Linked DNA regions of Caenorhabditis elegans. The protein of the gene in region 3 interacts with the protein of the main gene of each other region in a pairwise test. Each region holds a gene or a part of one and is shown on either strand. Other genes may lie near its edges.

Region 1 (4,709 bases), on a different chromosome or scaffold from region 3:
TTCACAGCTTCTCGAAAAAAACGAGAGTGGATGAAAGAGAAAATGGAGAGACTGACTAACAAAGAAATACTGGAACTCCTTCTTTTTGGAAATTGTTTTCCGAGAGAGAGAAAAGTGGAAAAATTGTTCGACGTACTTTTGGGAAAATTTATAACTTTTACAACGGCAAAATGCAGGCTTTACACCTATAAATTTTAGCAAAGTTCTAGAACCAAGAGAAACTCATTCGAGGAGAAAACCGCAGTCGATTAATGGACACAGAAGAGCTGGGACACTTCTTCATAATAAGCTATTTTATTTATTATTTTTATTCAATTTTAGTGTTGTAATATACAAAACTGTTTGCTCAATCTGGAACCAAAAGTACTTTTTTGTTGAAAGTTTGAAATAGGTTTTCGAAATTTGCACGAAAGTTGCCAATTGCCTCCGATATTCCGTCGGAATTTTTGAAAAAAACTTCAGAGAAAAACTAAGGTTCAGAGAAAATGTAAATTATGAATGTGTGCTCTGAGATAAACGCAAAAAAATGCTGAAAGTAAAAAGAGATGAGATTGTGTACGGAAATAGAGGCCGTGCGCGGATTATGGAAGTCACAAGGAAAAATAAAAAATAAATACATACACGGAGAGAGAAAAGAGAAAAAGTGAAAGAAAAATGAAGTCGAGATTGTTTTTGTGCATTTCTATTCTATGTGTAGAAAATTTAAGACGTTGTGGGTGGAATACTTTTCAGATTATCTGAGCCGCTTATTGTAAAATAATCGTAATTTTTCTGTCAAAAGAAGGGAGTATGATTGGAGATGGTAGAAGCAGATTGAAAAGATTAGGGATTATATGATTGGAAAGATTTAATGTTTGTTGTTAGTTGTGCATTATAGTATTATTGATGTATAGAGGTGGTTTTAGAATCTTGAACACGCTCTGAAAATTGCGGATGAGTTGCCCATTGGTTTGATTAAGAATTGAGAAATGAGTGAAAAGTATAAAAATAGATAAAAATCAGTAACGTCGAAAATAACAAATGATTTTTAAAAATAAATTTTAATCAAGTACATCTTGATAACAATAATTTTATAAATTCAACAACTTCATCATTATGTCATTTTAAAACATTTGGACAAGCTGGACACTTCATCGAATGGATGGCGGAATTCTCTTCTTTGCTGGATTGTCAACGTTCGGGTCCTACAACAAAGATGCATCAACGTTTATTCTCGTTCAGCGTTGGATGGTGGATGTCAGATATTATGGATAGTGCTTCAACTGCCTTAAAGCACAGTGAATTCCTCTGTTTAGAACCTGAAATAACGCTATTTGATCCCAAGTACCTAAAATCAATATGGTTATGTTTCTTAATTGAAAGGATGCTATTTGATTTTGAGTACTTGAAACAATATAAGTTTTGACAGGCTTGCAATAAGATGGGACTTTGATTTTTAGGTTTTTTTTAAATTCCAATCTCTAGCAACTTCTGTGCAAGTTTTTTAAATGGCCAATTGACAAGTCTCAAGCATCGACTTTGCAGACTTTTTTCTCCGTTAAATCTTTCCAATTGTCTCCGATCAGTTCTTTCACTAAAAGTAATTTATCTTAGAGGCCCGAATGCTACTGTTGTGAGGGCATCATTTGTTTGAGATACCAACTGCTACTGATTTAATGAGTCATTACAGAAAGCATCAAGTTTTTATTGCGATTCAAAGTTTATAGAAAACCAATAACCAACCATTAAGCTTATTACATTAAAAACAAAAAGAAAATGCGAAATGGAAATTTAGTTGAGGTATTGTCCGACCATGGCTTGAACCTTCTCGTCTGAAAATTAATATAATTATTAAATTGAAAATTATTAGAAGTTTATTAAACTCACTCTTGAAGAATCCGGTGAGGATTGGGAATTCCTTGGCGATGGAGTCCTTGGCATCTTGGGAAAGTCCCTTGTAGGCTTCGATGTGGCTGAAATGTTATCCTGACAGAGAAATTTGTAATTTTCTCGAAACTTACGTCTTGGCGGTGGTCTTGAGGGTGTCGAGGGATGGCTTCTCTCCGGCCAAGTATTGAGCGTGGATCTTACGTCCTTCAGCGATAGCCTTCTTGACGAAAGCCTTAGCCTCATCATTGAGAGCGTTGACCTTGTCCTTGACGATTTGGTGGAGCTTGGAGGCCTTCTCGTGGAGAGTTGGAGACTTTTCCTTGAGGGCGTTCAAGAACTGCAATTTAATATTTTGATTATTGGTCTAGAGTTTTCAATTTTCAGACTCACATCATCCTCGCTCTTGAAGTCCTTGTATCCCTTGGCGACCTCCTTAAGAATAGCCTTCTCTTCTGGGGTGATGGACTTAAGATGCTCGGAGACCTCGGCTGGGATAAGGGACTTGTATTCAGCTGGGATATCGTCATAGTTCTCTGGGACCTCCGGGACTGGAGCAGAGAAGGCGAGGGCAGCGACAGCGGCGAGGATGATAGTGGCACGGATCATTACTGAAAATTTGAAAGATTATGAGAATCGGGGATGTGACGAAGAAGAAGAAGAATAAGAAGAAGAAGAAAGCGAAATGAGACTGAAGTGTTGATTTCCATTGTTCTGAGCATCTTTTAAAGTCGAACAAAAAGAGGCGGACCACATGGTGACCCCAGAAGAATTACAATCAACTAGCGAGAGTGTAGTCCTTTGAGAGACTCAGAAAATGAGCAATTCAAATGGGCGGAGTCAGTGAGATAGAGCAGTTGCGAAGAATCAGCAGCAGCAAAGGGAATCGAAATAGAAATAGAAAAAAGAAACATTTTTTCCTAAACTTCATTACACTAAAAGTGGTTTTTTATAATAGAAATAAGGGAAAAATGAGGTCTGCGTCTCGAAGGGAACGTGATATTTCATCGGAACTCTCATGGTTCAACGCACTATTTCGTTGATGAAACGAGGTTCAAACATACATCATCCAAGGTCGTATAAAAGATCGGCTGGCGGAGCAGAATCGGCACAGCAGAAGCAGCTCAAAGCTTCATCTTCTACTTCGAAACTTTGCTAAATGGTTTCTTTTTTCTAGTTTACTGGTTCTTTAACTTTGATATCACCTTCTATTTCTATTTCACCTTAAAATTTCCCACCCCTAATTTAAAATATTGCAGTAATGATCCGCGCCTTCCTCGTCGTAGCCCTTGCCTCCGTGGCTGTCTTCTCTGCCCCAATCCCAGAGGTTCCACAGAACTTCGACGACATCCCAGCCGAGTACAAGGGACTCATCCCAGCTGAAGTTGCCGAGCACCTCAAGGCCATCACCGCTGAGGAGAAGGCTGCTCTTAAGGAACTCGCCCAAAACCACAAGGAATACAAGACCGAGGAAGAATTCAAGGCTGCTCTCAAGGAAAAGTCTCCATCCCTTTACGAGAAGGCTGGAAAGCTCGAGGCTCTCCTCACCGCTAAATTCGAGAAACTCGATGCCACCGCTCAGGCTCTTGTCAAGAAGATCATCGCCAAGGGACGTGAACTCCACCAACAATACCTCGCCGGAGATAAGCCAACTCTTGATTCTCTTAAGGAACTCGCCAAGGGATACATCGCTGAATACAAGGCTCTTTCTGATGACGCCAAGGCTACCATCACCGCTGAGTTCCCAATCCTCACTGGATTCTTCCAAAGTGAGTTTTAAAATTCTGAGATTTTTGAGCATTCAAATTGTTTAATTCAAACAATAATTTTATTATTTTCAGACGAAAAGATTCAAGCCATCGTCGGACAATACGTCAACTAAGAAGTAATAATTATGATATGGTTTTCCAATTATTTTCCCCCAAAATAAAGTATTTTAATTCAAATAACGATTGATTGTTCTCTAGAAAAGATGGAAAGAATTGAAGTTTGGTCGGTGAAATGAATCCCAAATGGCTACCACATGTCGGCTTCACGTAAAGCACATTTTCGAAACTTTCGAGTTGTCTTCACAAAGTTTATGGGTTTTGTTGTGGTTGTTGTGATTGTAAACAATATGGTTCCGAGGTCCATTGAGCAGTTGAAAGAATTGGGTACAAAGTGCAGGGTTACGGTAGCTTATTTGCCAACAACGTAATTCAGAAACTGGAAGGACAAGTTGCATAGTTTTTTGAAGTTTGAAAAGCGCAGGTAGGAAAACTTGATAATTTTTCAAAATTTCCAAAAGAGAATAAGTCAAAAACTAATAGGTTTTGCAAAAAAAATTTCTACATACAAAATATAGGTCATAACGTTTTCTTTGTTTTTGTTATTGACAATTTGTTATCAACTCTTCTTTGAAAAAAGTTAAAGCATTTGACATCTGGCGGCTTAATTTTTTCCAATCATTTTTGGAGCTTTCTGTAATTAACTGAATTTCATGGTATTTTCAATTAAAAAAAACAGATTTTCATTCTTTATGCTCCTCGAATTCGATTCTTCAACATTTTTGATAGAAAATGTTAAAAGTGCGACATCGTGGTCGCGTTTTTGTAAAGCTCATTTGCAGAACTTCATAGCATTTGTCAATCCGTGATCTCTACTTTTCCATCTCTTTTTCAATCGAATCTAGAACATTCCAATCCCTATCATCTTATCTCTTTATCAATTTCATCAGGCTCTTCATTGACCCCATTACACTTTGATGTACCTGCAAACCTTAGTCAATGAGATGTTTTGTTTCAGTTTCATCAGAGGGATCTTCTGAACGCTTCAGACACTTCATAACACACTACAAACCACAA
Region 2 (5,625 bases), on a different chromosome or scaffold from region 3:
CGTCCTCTTGAAAGGGCACTCATTCACTGAAAAACAAGAAAATGACGAGAGAGAAAAAGAGATTCACATCATCTGAAGAAAAAGAGCCGCCAGCTTGTTGACTTATCTAATCAAACCGCTTCTCTCGTCTCTCCCTGTGTCCATCAATTTTCGCCGCTCTTCGTTCACGTCAACAAAGTTTGGGTGTCCAGCTAGCTTTTTCCGCCTGGTTATAGAACTGGCAAATTTTCGAACCTGTCTGCTTACTCCCGCCAGTGTCCTATAATTTAAACGCGACTGCCCATTTCACTCCGGCTTCTGCCCTCTATTGCCCGCTCTGACGGCTACTATCCAGGCGGATTTTTTTGGTTCTGCAACTTCTGCAATTGCTGGTTGCCGAAAATCTCGCTTGCCGTAACATCCCTGCTCCTATCGCCCAGTATTACCCATAGTTGCCTAGGCTGATTTACTCACATAAAAATTTAATGCTCAGAACATGAGCTTTTTGTGCTCTCTTACTAGTTATAATGCGAAAAAGCTCAATTTTCATCTCGTGCACGATGGGAGGATTTTTGAGCAACCTTTTCGATTTCTTTAAAAATTTTAGTATCAGGATTATTAAAAACACATAGATATTAAAAAATATTGTTGAAAAATTCCCACCCACTAATTAGAATGACGTGACTTAAAAAAAACAAAAAGAATGAAGAAAACGAGGAAATGGGGGAAATGTGGGTGGAAAATGAGAGGAAAGGCAATAAAATACATACATACACTCACCCCCGGATATACAATTATTGAGGATGAAGAGGAGGAGGAGAAGAAGAAAATCTGGAAATTGAATAATAATAATTTGTAGCAGGAGTAGGCAGAAAACTATTTTTCCGGCAAACCGGCAAATTGTGGTTTTTTTGTGAAATTCAGAATTTCAATTTCAATCGGCAAAATTGTACACATCCTAGGAATGTTCATACATCTATTTTTAAAAGTAAGCAAATTATATAAAAATATCTAAAGAAAACGGGAAAAGTTCAAATAGGCACAGTTTTAAGTATTTTCGTCTTATAAAAAATCCCTCTAAATATTTACGGCAAATCAGATATTCGGCAAATCGGCAAGCCGGCAATTTGTCGACAAAAAAATTTGCCGGAGCAATTGCCGCCCACCCCTGATTTGTAGTGCGATTAAACAAATTCAACAATATATTTTAATAGTTTTCAAGAAAAAATGTTTTTTTTTTAATTCAAAGTTAGGCAGGGGTCATGATATTGGGAAAATCGTGAGGCTGAATTTTTCTGCAATTTTCAAATTTCCAAAACTATGCACAATGAGCTTCTCGAGAGACTCCTTTCTCTCTCTCTCTTTTTTTCGCTTCGTTTTTTCTATTTTCTAGAAGGGACGCGCACTCACTCACGCTACACTCAATTTAGTTAAATTGCTCTAGAATGTGTTGCTGGAATGGGGAAAAGAGGAACAACGTCATCTCTCGAGAGCTCTCATAATTGGGTGAACGCATCACTGAACACACCACGACAACTTTGGCTGGGCAGGAAAATGAGTTTATGGGAGAAACGGGAAAGTGTTGGAAATGTTGTTTTTTGTAAAGATTGACTGAAAACAATTTTAAAAATTTAAAATGTTCCTGTGATTTTTTTAATTCAGAACTTCGAGCCTCCCGCAAAATTTTTTCGGAAATTTTAAACTGCTTGAATTTCCCGCCTGAATTATTTGAAAAAATAATTTTTCCGACAACGTTTTTTTTGATGAAAACTTAGAATTAAAATACTATAAATCCTGAGAATGCGTATTGCGCAGCATATTTTACGCGCAAAATATCTCGTAGCGAAAACTACAGTAATTCTTAAAATGACTACTGTAGCGCATGTGTCGATTTACGGGCTCAATTTTTGAAGTTATTTTTTTTCGAATAGTAACATCGAAATATCATTTTCATTCGTTTTTTCGTATTATTTTCCCTTTTCTCTTAAAGTTAATTTTAAAAATCGAACCCGTAAATCGACACAAGCGCTACAGTAGTCATTTAAAGATTACTGTAGTTTTCGCTAAGAGATATTTTGCGCGTCAGATATGCTGTTCGCGTTTGGGGAATATCGATCGTCACTAGTCAAAAATTTTAGAGGGGTATATAATGTTTATAATGTTTATATGACAATTTTTAAAATAATGCATCTATTTTTCATTGAGAAATTTTTATTAATTGTTTTTCTTATATTCATTTGAAACTATAACATCATATCTTTGATTAATCATTATTTAAATCTTAAAATTTCTCGAGCCCTATTTAAATAAAACTTAATTAAATTTATCGACAAGATCCCGCAGAAAAACTAAATTTGAAATTCCCTCTCATTGTGTTGCGTACAGCACACCAAATGTTACGCAACTTTCTCTGCGTCTCTCTCCATCGCATTGTCTCTCTTCTACCGTAACCTTCAAGTTTTCTCTTCAAAAAATAGTTTTTCAAATCCAATTTTCGTTCTTTTTCTGTTTTCCCGCTGTAAAACTAAGAAATCTGAACAAAATGCAATTTTATTTCTTTTCCCAAGCTTTTTCTTATCAATCAATCTCTTTGTTCTCTTTCTCCTACTCTTCTCCGCTTCAAAACTTGTTATCAAATCGTACTACTGCTTTCTGCACAAGTATATATTATCTCCCTCAGTCTTATCGTTATATTTTACATTCATCGCTACTATTTTCCATCAAAAAGTAATCGTACTATTCAGAGAAAATGAGCTCGCTCACCGACAAAACCCGAAATGGAGCCCTGAAGCGGAATCTGCTCCGCCAAATGCTCAAAGCGAGCGTCTTCAAATTCGGCGAGTTTCAGCTCAAGTCTGGGCAGATTTCACCGATTTATATCGATCTTCGCGAATGCTTTGGGCATCCGGGGCTTTTGGTGAGTTTTTTAAAGTTTAAAAAAAAAATAATAGCTTATTTTAATGATTTTTATTTAAAAGAAAACTATTTCCAGATGCTTATCTCAGAAGCGATATCGAAGCAGGTGGAGATTAGCGAGGTTCAGTACGCTGGAGTTCTTGGAATCCCATACGCGGCTCTTCCCTACGCATCAGTCGCCGCTGGAAACTATCTGAAGAAGCCGCTGCTCATCGTTCGCAAAGAGGCCAAGTCCTACGGCACGAAGAAGCTCATCGAGGGATTGTACCAGCCAAACGATCGTCTGATCCTCATCGAAGACGTCGTGACGACAGGTGGAAGCATCCTGGACGTGGTAAAAGTGCTTCACACAGAGAATTTGGTCGCCTCGGATGTATTTTGCATTCTGGATCGAGAACAAGGCGGGCGTCAGAAGCTCCAGGACGCGGGTGTCACGCTGCACAGCCTGCTCGACATGCAAACAGTTCTCACATTCTTGTACTCAACTGGAGCGATCGGTGACGAGCAGTGGCACGGAATTGTTCAGGTTAGTCAAATTATCTCGATTTTCTATTTAAAAATAAAATAATTGATTATTTCAGGCTCTCAACCTTCCGTACACCTCCCCAACAAAGCTGGAAATCAACAGCGAGCTCGAAAACCTGTCCAGTCTACCGTACGTGGAAAACGTGCGAACTCCGCTTGCGGAACGCGAATCCCTCACAGAATCTGCACTCATCAAGAAAATTCTTGGAATCATGCGCCGGAAGAAGTCGAATCTGTGTCTCGCTGTCGACTACACTACCGTCGAGCAGTGCCTTCAGATGATCGAGCTCGCTGGTCCATTTGTGCTGGCGATCAAGCTTCACGCCGACGCTATCACCGATTTCAACGAGGAATTCACGAGGAAGCTGACGACGATGGCAAATGATATGGACTTTATCATTTTCGAGGATCGGAAGTTTGGCGACACTGGAAACACGAACCTTCTTCAGCTCACTGGAGCCCAGAAAATCGCCAACTGGGCGGATGTTGTGACTGTTCATGCCGTACAAGGAAGTGACAGCATTGCAGGAGTCTTCAGGAAGCTCGCCAAAGATCCGACTTACAGGCTCAGTGGAGTTCTCCTCATCGCGCAGCTCAGCACCAAAGGATCTTTGACTGCGCTGGAAGGATACACCGAGACCGCCGTCAAGATTGCCAACGAGAATCGTGACGTGATTTCTGGATTCATCACTCAGACGAGAGTGTCTGCTTGCTCGGATCTTCTCAATTGGACGCCCGGTGTGAATCTCGACGCGAAATCCGACTCGGCCGGTCAGCAGTGGAGAGGTGTCGACGAGGCGATCGAAGTACAGCAGAACGACATCATCATCGTCGGAAGAGGCGTCACGTCGTCCAGTGAGCCCGTTCAGCAGCTCAAGAGGTTTGTTTTTTTTTTTTTAATTAAATTTTTAAATGTCAATTTTCTCTTTCAGATATCGACAAATCGCCTGGGATGCGCTCACGAGAAGCGACGATAGCATTTGAAAGTTGAAAAATCCGGAGAGCCTATTTGTAAAGAAGAAATGTGAATATTTATCTAATTACGTATTTATTTAACTTTGTTGATTTTGTTCAAGCTTCCCCAGAATTGTTGAAATAAGTAAATTGATTGCCTCCATCTTCCTCAAATTATCAAGAAATCACATGCCCACACCATTTACTTTACTGCTAACCTGATTAATCAATATTTTCTCCGTCAAGGCGAAAAGCTACTCCTCTAAGCGATCTTATCAGTTCGAAAAATCGGCATCTGATGTGTGAACGACCCGGTGTGTATTCTATAATGTCCTTTGATCTTTTCCTCCATGCTGAAAACATCAGAAACGATTCGATTCCTTATCAGTGCCGCCGCGAAGTTGATAAAAGACACGAGCATCACTGCTCCGGGTGCATTTTCGCTTCATTTCTCCAGTTTTTCATCTTAAAATCTACAGAATGACTCGCATTCTTCCGTGTCTTTTCCTTGTCTTGCTCGCCGCTGCTCCACTTCTAGCCAATCCAGCTAACCCACTCAATCTCAAGAAGCATCACGGTGTTTTCTGTGATGTCTGCAAGGCTCTCGTCGAGGTTTGTGCTCCAAATATCTCCAATTTTCCTCGTTATTCACATATTTCAGGGTGGAGAGAAGGTTGGAGATGATGATCTCGATGCATGGCTTGATGTGAACATCGGAACTCTTTGCTGGACTATGCTGTTGCCGTTGCATCACGAGTGTGAGGAAGAGCTGAAGAAGGTCAAGAAGGAGCTGAAAAAGGATATTGAGAACAAGGATTCTCCAGACAAGGCGTGCAAGGATGTTGATTTGTGCTAAGAATAATAAATGTTTCCTTCAAAATCATCAAAATATTCTTTCATTTAACAAAAACAGAAACAACGGCGAAATTGGTTTGTGCGCGTGGAATTTTAGAGTTATAAAAATTAGAACTCGTGTTGGTTCTAGTTGTTGAATGGGGGAAAAGTTCTCAGCTACCCTGAGAACACGTAAACTAGAAAACCACACACGGTAGAAGGGAGGGGGTATAAAATTAGAAATTAGAATATAATTGTCTCGAAACACACACACACATACAAAAGAAAGTTATCTGGATAAAATATAGAGTGTGGTGAGGACTGATAATTTACAGCGGCGATTTAATAGCACCAATTAAGCACTATGACACGTGGATGTGAGGAGTGATTGTGAGATGTGGAGGTGAAGTCTACTGG
Region 3 (9,005 bases):
CAGTGTAAACCCCGATACATCTGTATGTTCTTGACACGAGAGACACAGAATTTGGTGAAGATGTAGGCGGAGTCAAGATAAAGAGAAGGTGTGGACACGCGGGAGGACACTTGTTTGAAAAAGGGACAATGATAGCCAAGGGGATTAGAGAAATGAAGGAAACATTGATGAGAGGAAGAAAGCAGAAATACAAGAATATGCCATCCAAGGAAGGCCTTCCGATTACAACACTTGGCGACAGGCAACTCTCTCTCTCTCTCTCTCTCTCTCTCTCTCTCTCTCTTCTCTCTCTCTCTCTCTCTCTCTCTCTCTCTCTCTCTCTCTCTCTCTCTCTCTCTCTTAGACTCCATCTTATGCTTTTCATTCATCAATTGGGTTTTCTTCATTTCTCTGTCTTTTCAATTGAGTACTATCTCATTTATTCCATTTGATTCTTTTTTATCTCATAATCACTAACTAGAATGTTTCTTTTCCAGCTGTTGCCACTTTTTGGTTTTCATCTTCGTGTTTCTAGTCCGAAAATTATTTTTTGGCGGCGATTTTTAGTACGATCTGGATATTCTAGTTTGATTTTTTTTCTGGTAAATGTGAAGCTAACGTTCTGGGTTTTTGTTCAATTTCACAAAGATACTATAATTTTTTAGATATATGTGTTTTCTCAGATCAGCACTTTAATTCAGAAATCAAGGCAAACAAATGTGTAAACCTTCTAAATGAATTAATTGAACATTTTGTATATTTTTTTAAATTAATTTTTGGGTGTGATTATGAGATTCTGGATTCTACTTCGTTTGAATTTTGGAATTGGAAAAATAGTCTGTTTCAACATTTCCAGATATTTAGATAGTTTATTGAATAATTGTTTAGTCTCACTCTTTTTCCCACTATCTTGCCCACTAAATTTTTTTTACATTTGTAGAGCTTGGCAAATTTGGCAGATCTCTTTTTCCAATACTTGCAGTTCTTAACAAACTCCGAAAAATTTGTTTTTTTTTTTAATTTTTTTTGGAGCACCAAATCTATTGAATTCTTACCACACATCTGGTTTCTGAATGAACTCCTTGTGGTGTGTCTGCTTAATCATCAAAATAATTCAATTTTGTGTCATTTTACTAAATCTTTGGGGACAAAATCAATAGTTTTGGTCAAATTTGTACTGTCAAATTGTTGCTGTGTGCGGCGAATTTTGAAATTTGCCAAGCTCGGTAAACGGCAAATTCGGCAAATTCGTCAAATTTGCCGCACAATAATTTTTAAATTATTTTTGGATGTGATTATGAAATTGTGGGTTCTACTTCGGTTGAATTTTGGAATTGCAAAGATAGTCTATTTCAACATGTCCACATATTCAAATAGTTTATTTGTAAAGTAATTGTTTGGTCATGATAAAAATGTTTCTCTTCCAGTTTTTCACACTATCGGTTTCCATCTCCGTTTTCAGACCAGCAATAATTTTTTTGGTAACATGTCTGGATTTTTTAGTTTTATTGGGTTTAGTATACAAGAAAACATGTAAACCTCGAGGATATATGTCTCTCGAAACAACAGGTTTGAAACTCAGTGTTTAAAAAAGTATCATTATAGCTCAAAGTTCGATTTCAAATTATCGCAGGAAAAATTTAATAACAGTAAAATTTTACAACATGAATCCATACAAATTGCAGGTTTTTTTGTGATTGATAAAAATTTTTACAAAATAAGCTTCAATCAAAAAGCTATAAATATCCCAAGAACATGTTCATCATTGCGTTTCGTTGTTGACAATAATAAAACAATTTCATGAATCAGTAAAAGTTACATTTTTCAAAAATTTTATTTATTTACTTCGGCATTACAATGATAGTCTGTTTCAACATATCCACATATACTTCAACAGTTTATTGAAAAATTATTCCACGCTGGGTTAAATAAAACATTCCACTTAAATAAAACAAAGCATTAAATAAAACATTCTAAAACATTCCACATACCATGAAAGAAACAAAAAATTACAAAAATGTTTTGTGGTGTTTTAAAATTTTGTTTTGAAGAAAAATATCTTTACCGTTTCAAAGACTTATCAAATTAAAATGTATTACAATCTTTTCAGTTCCTTGAATGGTACAGGCATGTCGAGCTTCTACTTTTCAATGTAACCAATTACGGAAATAGTTTTCAGCCAAAATAATTTAAATATAACTGAAATATTTCCCAATATCCCAATAGTTTGATCAAATCCACAAGAACACGTTGTGTTCTTGCAAAAAGAGAAATGCATTAGCCAATTAGCCAAATACAACTGTCACCTTTTTGGCTTCTTCTCACTTTTATCCTTTTCTTTACACTTTATCAGCTAGTGTGACCTATCTGTTGATAAGGAAATTGAGAGATAAATGGTCACTTTGAACAATCTTCGACTTGGTTAGAATATAGTTTTCGATTTTTCTATTCATACCGTTTCACAGTTAATCAATAAATTTCCAGATATTAATGACGAGATGCTGCAATCAAAACTTCCCATCATTTCTAATTTTAGTGGCTTCCGCTCTATTTATCACTTTTATCGGCTCAATTGACAGTGAACACAATTTCCATCCACTTCTCGCTGCTCCACGGACACTTCCAGGAGTTCGAGTCAGAATATTGCCACGTGGATTGGCCTACTTGAATCATGTAGGTTTTTCTCGTAGTAGAAGTTAGCACAAAAATAAAAACTGAAAAATTCCGGCAACAACGAAGAAAATCGAATTCGATTTCTTCGTAAATTCATTTGCGCGGGAAATATAAATTCAAATACTTTAAGTTTGACTTCATGTTCAGTTTCCAGTATTTTGCTCATTAGTGATTTTTTTAAAATAATTAGTTGAAATTTTTCAATGTTTCACGAATCTGTTAATTGAATTAATTTTTTCAAAGTGTGCTTTTTGTTCCACTATTTCAAAAATTGATAATAAAAACATTTCAGTTAGCAGCCAACCTACTCGCAGATCAATTGCCCCGACTCATACTTCCAGACGTCGAGCACATTTTGCCAAGTAATCAGGGTATTATCTACATTTCGAAAGTCCATTTATCACGGTAAGGTATCGTTACACAATTGTTGTGATAAGATTAAAAAGACGGAATAAGAAAACCATAAAAATTACATGTTCCAGTTATAAGATTAAAACATATGTTGCAACAAATAAGAAAGTTGTAACAGGACGTTTAGCGAATAAAATATTTGGACAAAATTCAACAGATTTAGAAGTTATTAAACACTTTGAACATTCGTTTAAATTTTGTTGGAAATGAAAAAGTTCTAAAAATGTTTTCTGATAATTTCAATATTCAATTGCACTAAAAAAACAATCCAGAAATTTCCAGATTCCGCCGAGCGGAGCATCATCAACTAAATTCCACGGCACCAAATAAAATCTCATGGACTATGCAGAATATGGATATTGGGTTAGTTTTTGTGGAAAAATTTGCATAATACTTTGTAAATGTCAAAAAAGGTGTTTAATGTGCTCCCAAATCGGTCATGTTTCTAATACATTTTAAATGAAAGAACAAAAAACAAGTCTAGTATTTCGTGATTTCAAAAATACATGCTTAAAATTTTTGACTTTTTATCTTTAAACTAACGGCAAAATTTGAGTTGAAAAAAAAAAACGTATGATACTTCAAAAAACTAGGCATAATTTTTGATATCTAACACGATCTGCGTTTTTATTATTTCAAGTGCACATTTCTATAAAAAATAACTGTTTCAACAAAATTTAATATAACTTCGTCAAAGTTCTAGCTTGTTCAACCTAATTTCTGTTTCAGATTATTAGGAGACTTGAGTGGATCTGTAAACATAGTGGTTCCACTTAACTTGACCGGACAAGTTGAGATTCTTGCACAAGGACTTACTTTTCATTTGGAGTCTTCGGTGAGTTTTTTAAAAAGTAACATACAATTTTTATTTAACTGAAAGTAAAATAATGCAGTATTCAGCAAAATTTTTTTAAAAAATCTTTACTGTTTCAGTTAGTTTTCAATAGTCGGCAGAATGTTACAACTGCAATTTTCTAAAAATATAACAATAAAACACATTTTAAAAAAACTGTTTGGGGGATCTCAAATTTTTCAAACAATCGGCTAGGGGCAAACTACTCGTGTTCACGTTCAATTTTGAAGTCAAAATGGGAACAAAATTGCGTATAAACTTCAAAAGTCTGAAAATAAAGTTTTAAAAAATTTGAAAAAAAAAACCTGTTTCGGTATATTTAGAAATTCTGCACAAAATTTGTTTTTCAATTTATCTGAAGTTGCGATAACTGTAGCTCAATGTTTAGATCGAAAAAGGTAAAAATGGATCAGCAAAAGTAACTTCTCTGTCTTGCCTTGCCACAATCAGAGATGTAACTGTTACAAATCACAACGGAGGACTCTTTGGATTAGCAGTTTCAGTGTTTAAACAAGGAGTTTCCGATAATGTCCGGCATATGCTTCAAACAATAATTTGCAAGAAAGTTCGAAAATATATAGATGAAGATGCAAATGAGAAGTTGGCAGAAGCGCAAACATCAAGTAAATTGGCAGATGCTTTGGAGACAAATGCATTAAAAATGATATCGGTTGGAGGAGATGAGAAATCAAGAATTGATATTTCAAGCATATTTGATTCATCGTTGGCATCCAAATTTTTCATTGATTTCAGGTATGTGGATATTTATTTGTTCAAATTTTTACTGTTTCAAAGTGTAATTTTGACAAAAAAGCTTCATTTGAGCTCTACTGGTGTCTTTTTTTCATAAGTTTTTTTTCTGCTTCTGGTATTCAACGATGGATTTTATGAAAATTTCATAAGGTTTTGATAAACTTCGAAAACATAAAATGATCATTGTTAATTGAAAAACTTGTTTCGAGTAAATTAAATATCGTGTTTGAGAAAAAAAATGGTAAACATCCTGTAAAAATGTTTTACGTTTTTAAGTTTATCAAAATCTAATATAAGGCTTCAAACATTTAATTATCGAAGAAATAGCTAGATAAAGGCGGTGCAAAATTACGATTTTTCATGCATTAAATTTTACTTTACTTTAATTTTTTTTTAAATTTCCGACCCTTCGCGTCTAACATTATTTTTACTTGTCAGTACCAATTTCAGAATAGCGGACCAGGAAAAAAAGCAATAATATACTTTCAGTATTTTTTTTTTCGTTTTTCAATTTAATTTTCTTTTTCGGGATTTTACCGAGATATGTATACTAAAAATGGGCTCAAAAAAGAGATGCATATATTTAAAAAAAAAAAGTTCTCAAATGTTGTAAGCTCATTCAACATTTTGGTAAAAGATTTGGAAAGATATCAAATTTTTAAAAAAGTTTGAGCTTTTTTTTATTGATCCAAAATGTAGCTGTTCAAAATTTTGATTTTTTACTGTTTCATCTAGTAAATTTAACGTAACAGCAATAATTCTGCTATTGCCATTTTCCATAGACGCAGAGGTTTGCCACATTCTTCAAACTTTGTTTCAGACTAAAAGAACACCCAATTTGCCAAGAAAACACTGTAGAACTAGCATCTTGGGGTGAAATCTCATTTATGGGACAAGGCGACACTCCATTTGGACCAGTTGATGCTTCATGGCCAGGAAGATCACCTTTCAAGACAAATGTTGTAGATTCAGTGACAAATAAAGACTCGATGATTGAATTAGTTGTATCCGACTTTTTACCAAATTCACTGCTTTATCATGCCTATGTGTAAGTTCATCTTTTTTTAAATTTTAATAAGTTGATTTATTCTAGACAAAGATTCATAAAAGTATTATTAACTCCAAGAACAAAGGGTGTCTCCTCATTCTTACGAACAACGTGTGAAGGATCGTTTTGTATTTCTGATTTGGCTCCACAGCTCGCCGAGCAATATCCGAACTCTACTGTTGAGCTGGCAATGAGTGCCACAAGAGCTCCGGCAGTGCTTTTCAGTGAAAAAAATGGAGGTGAGTACTGGGGGCTGGGACTTTTGGAAACTTAAAAAGAAATGTGTCTGAGTTCTTGATACATCTTTGATACATTGTGTTGAACTAAAATTTGTACCACAATTCGGTATCAATCAAGGGTTCATTTTAAGGTTGAAGTTTTGTTTTTGAAAATATCCGTTTTACGGAATCCTTTTAACATATTTTCAGTTTTGTTTAGCCAAGAAAATGAAAAAGTAAATACCAAAAAATTGATTGGATTCACTGAAACTCTGCTGCAGAATAAAATTATAAAAACTCCCTGAAACAGCAAATTTTTTGAATTTTCAGGAACGATTTCCGTTTCACTTGGAGGTTTAGTTGTGGTCTTTGCTGTAAACGGAAACCAGCGTCGACAGGTTATTGTGGTAGATTTGGATGTAGTTGCAGATGCAAGACTGTCCATTCAGGTTAGTTGTTCTGTGAAACATTACCATAAGTTTCCAATTTTAAGGGGCACAACGTGAGTGGTTCTGTGGAGCTTCGGAAGTTTGATCTAAAGCGTCGAACGGGAACAGTTGATATTTCTGATGCTGAAATTGATGATATTGCTCTTTTAGTCAGTCAGTTGTCTGAAAACCTTCTCAATGGGCTATTGGTCAATGGTATGCCTATTCCACTTCCTCATGGTAAGCGAATTGATACATTGAGGGTACAGTAAACGGTAAATTAACAGTAAATTGATACGAATTATTTTTATACAGACTTTGAAACAGTAAATCTTTTAAAAAATACCTAACTTGAGAAAATTGTTTGCAAGTAGGATATGTTTTTCGAGCGAGAGAAAATGAACTGAAGCCTCAAAAAAAAATTTTTTTTGAATTGATACGGCTTAAATTCCTAGCATTTTGTTACTTTTAAATTATTACGAAGCAAGTTTATAGTAAAAACGACTGTTCAAAACAAAACGTCAGAGAGCATTTTTGTTAAACTTGAAAAAAAAAACATCTGCTATGGTAATTGAAGTAGCCGAATGAGTCGCATAGTTCAAAAGCAAGAAAGAATAGGTACATAAAAAATTTTTAGCGTTGAACATTAGTGAAAAACTTAATTAGAACTATTAAATGACAATCTGAAATAGTATAAGAAAATATTTGTTTTTGAATCAAACAATACAGTTGATTATTAGGTTTTTTCACTGGTTTTTGTGTCCTAAAACATGTATTAGTCAAATTAAACCAAATTTCCGATCGCCCACTGAAAATATTGAAAAAAAGCTAAATTTATTTAAATGAAAATCCTTTTCGCCAGTGTGTTGTTACGTACATATTAGTTAAAAAAATATAGTGACCACTATTAAATGACAATCTGAAACAGCATAAAAATTAATAATATTTTAATTTTAAAAAAAAGTTCAGTGCTTCGAATCAAGGACAGTCACATTAATGTTCTGAGCCGACGAATGCATATTCAAGTTGATGTGGATGTTGATGAGAGGAGGCTATCAAAATTGGCATCTCAAACATTTTTCAAGACTCCACAGTTTTCAGATGTCAATCTCAGTTAGTTTATTTTTTCTTAACATGGGAATTTACATTTTCATGAAGTTCATAAAATGTTCGCTTGGTCGTTACATTTATTATGACTCACGAAATTCCAAATGCAAATATTTCAGGCCCACTCCGACGCATGGTCCGTCCCGTTCCATTCCTGGAGGCCCGCCAACAAATTTCTCAGTTTAATTTCAACAATTGGTCAACCGATTCGGGAAGAAGAATATTTCGTTAAAAATGAATTGTATTATTTTGCCCATTGAAATTATCATTATTCTAGTCCAGATTGTATCACACCTGTTTTGCTGTTTCACGGGTTGCATTTAAGTGTCTGTACATATGAAATTTGTTAATTTAACATATTTTTTTGTTGTGGAAAAAAACGGCTTGAAGTTGAAAATAAGTCATTTAATCACTGCTATGAACTAAACGGATTTTCAGAATATGCTCATAGCTTTGTAAAAGGAAACTTCTACCCAAAGTTGGCATAACTTTTTAAACAAGTAAGTCACATAAATTTAAATCTTTTTTCTGACAGAAAAAATATTTAAGATAAAAATAAAACATGATGGAACACTTATTTTAAACATTTTGATAAAAACCCGCCTAATAAAGTTTTATTTTATTTCACTGCCAAAAAACAGAGTAATCTATAACTTTATCTAATATCATCAGAGCAAATTTAACAAATATCAATTTAAAATTGTTCTGAAACAGTAATTTATTATTTGAAAACATAAAAGTTACTTTCAGTATTAAACTTTTCTTCGAAGCTTACCAGAAACCGTATTAAAAAAATAAATTCCATCGTGATAATTTAAGAAGTTTCAGTCAGAGTAATATTTTTCAGAAAATGTTTTAAAAGTTTCCGTCCATTTTTTCTTCCAGTAATTTTTTCCTCTCAATAAAAATTGCCCATGATATCATCAATTTTCTTCTTCTTTTAAAATGCTGTCTCATGACATGTCATTCATTTATCTTGCAACTTTTCAAAAAAAAACGCCTGAAAAAAGTTTACCCAAAAAAAAGTAAAAATTTATTTTTTTTTTTCCTTTTTTCCTACTTTCTTTCAACACGATTTTCTTTCTCCTATTCCCCGCTGAAAGATTCATCAATTTTCTGTCTTTCTTCATACTCTTCCTTCTTTTTGTCAGAAGATGTTTGGCACCCCCTATCTAATTTCGGAAACCTTTTTTCTCTTCATTCCTCTTTATTTTGTAGTCATCTCTCCAAAAAAAAAACGAAAAAGACGACTGGTACTCAGAAAATGTTAAGTACTTCAAAACTAGAAAAGACGAGAATCTTCCGAAATTGAGCCAACAGAAAAAAAGTACGAAAAGTCAGACAGAAGTTGTGTGTGCAAGAAAAAACAAAAGTCAATTTTGAAATCAAATTGCATTTTTTGCCTTCTATTCCCATCATTCTCGTGTTTTCTACTCTCAACCAGGTTTAGTTTTTAGTAAAAAATATTTGTTCTCTGTTTCAAGAACTTTTTTTCAATATTCGATTATTCTTTTTTCAATATTAACCACGATCAG

What was found.
Region 1: the proteins of C55C3.1 (region 3) and far-2 interact in a two-hybrid assay, tested with the Caenorhabditis elegans proteins (one large-scale study listed by BioGRID).
Region 2: the proteins of C55C3.1 (region 3) and umps-1 interact in a two-hybrid assay, tested with the Caenorhabditis elegans proteins (one large-scale study listed by BioGRID).

What each region holds. Positions count from the first base shown.
Region 1 is NC_003281.10:9,078,703-9,083,411, forward strand, and holds far-2 (Fatty-acid and retinol-binding protein 2), read left to right. Parts: upstream 1-3,125; 5' UTR 3,126-3,127; coding exon 3,128-3,635; intron 3,636-3,707; coding exon 3,708-3,748; 3' UTR 3,749-3,809; downstream 3,810-4,709. Other genes in the region: far-1 (Fatty-acid and retinol-binding protein 1), read right to left, coding at 1,771-1,811, 1,867-1,952, 2,001-2,206, 2,260-2,475. UniProt on the Caenorhabditis elegans protein: Probably binds lipids.
Region 2 is NC_003281.10:10,354,747-10,360,371, reverse strand, and holds umps-1 (Orotidine 5'-phosphate decarboxylase), read left to right. Parts: upstream 1-2,723; 5' UTR 2,724-2,728; coding exon 2,729-2,896; intron 2,897-2,971; coding exon 2,972-3,421; intron 3,422-3,476; coding exon 3,477-4,300; intron 4,301-4,352; coding exon 4,353-4,404; 3' UTR 4,405-4,535; downstream 4,536-5,625. Other genes in the region: spp-1 (Saposin B-type domain-containing protein), read left to right, coding at 4,855-4,986, 5,036-5,230; T07C4.3 (ANK_REP_REGION domain-containing protein), read right to left, coding at 5,619-5,625. UniProt on the Caenorhabditis elegans protein: Bifunctional enzyme which catalyzes the formation of UMP from orotate in the de novo pathway of pyrimidine biosynthesis. May also form UMP from uracil. Regulates the size of gut granules during embryonic development.
Region 3 is NC_003282.8:5,706,635-5,715,639, forward strand, and holds C55C3.1 (BPI2 domain-containing protein), read left to right. Parts: upstream 1-2,461; 5' UTR 2,462-2,469; coding exon 2,470-2,652; intron 2,653-2,900; exon of another isoform or gene 2,901-2,921; intron 2,922-2,944; coding exon 2,945-3,057; intron 3,058-3,172; exon of another isoform or gene 3,173-3,193; intron 3,194-3,345; coding exon 3,346-3,426; intron 3,427-3,547; exon of another isoform or gene 3,548-3,568; intron 3,569-3,771; exon of another isoform or gene 3,772-3,792; coding exon 3,793-3,898; intron 3,899-4,266; exon of another isoform or gene 4,267-4,288; intron 4,289-4,304; coding exon 4,305-4,669; intron 4,670-4,747; exon of another isoform or gene 4,748-4,768; intron 4,769-5,270; exon of another isoform or gene 5,271-5,291; intron 5,292-5,436; exon of another isoform or gene 5,437-5,457; intron 5,458-5,489; coding exon 5,490-5,717; intron 5,718-5,744; exon of another isoform or gene 5,745-5,762; coding exon 5,763-5,956; intron 5,957-6,178; exon of another isoform or gene 6,179-6,199; intron 6,200-6,265; coding exon 6,266-6,384; intron 6,385-6,428; coding exon 6,429-6,603; intron 6,604-6,622; exon of another isoform or gene 6,623-6,643; intron 6,644-6,988; and 11 more.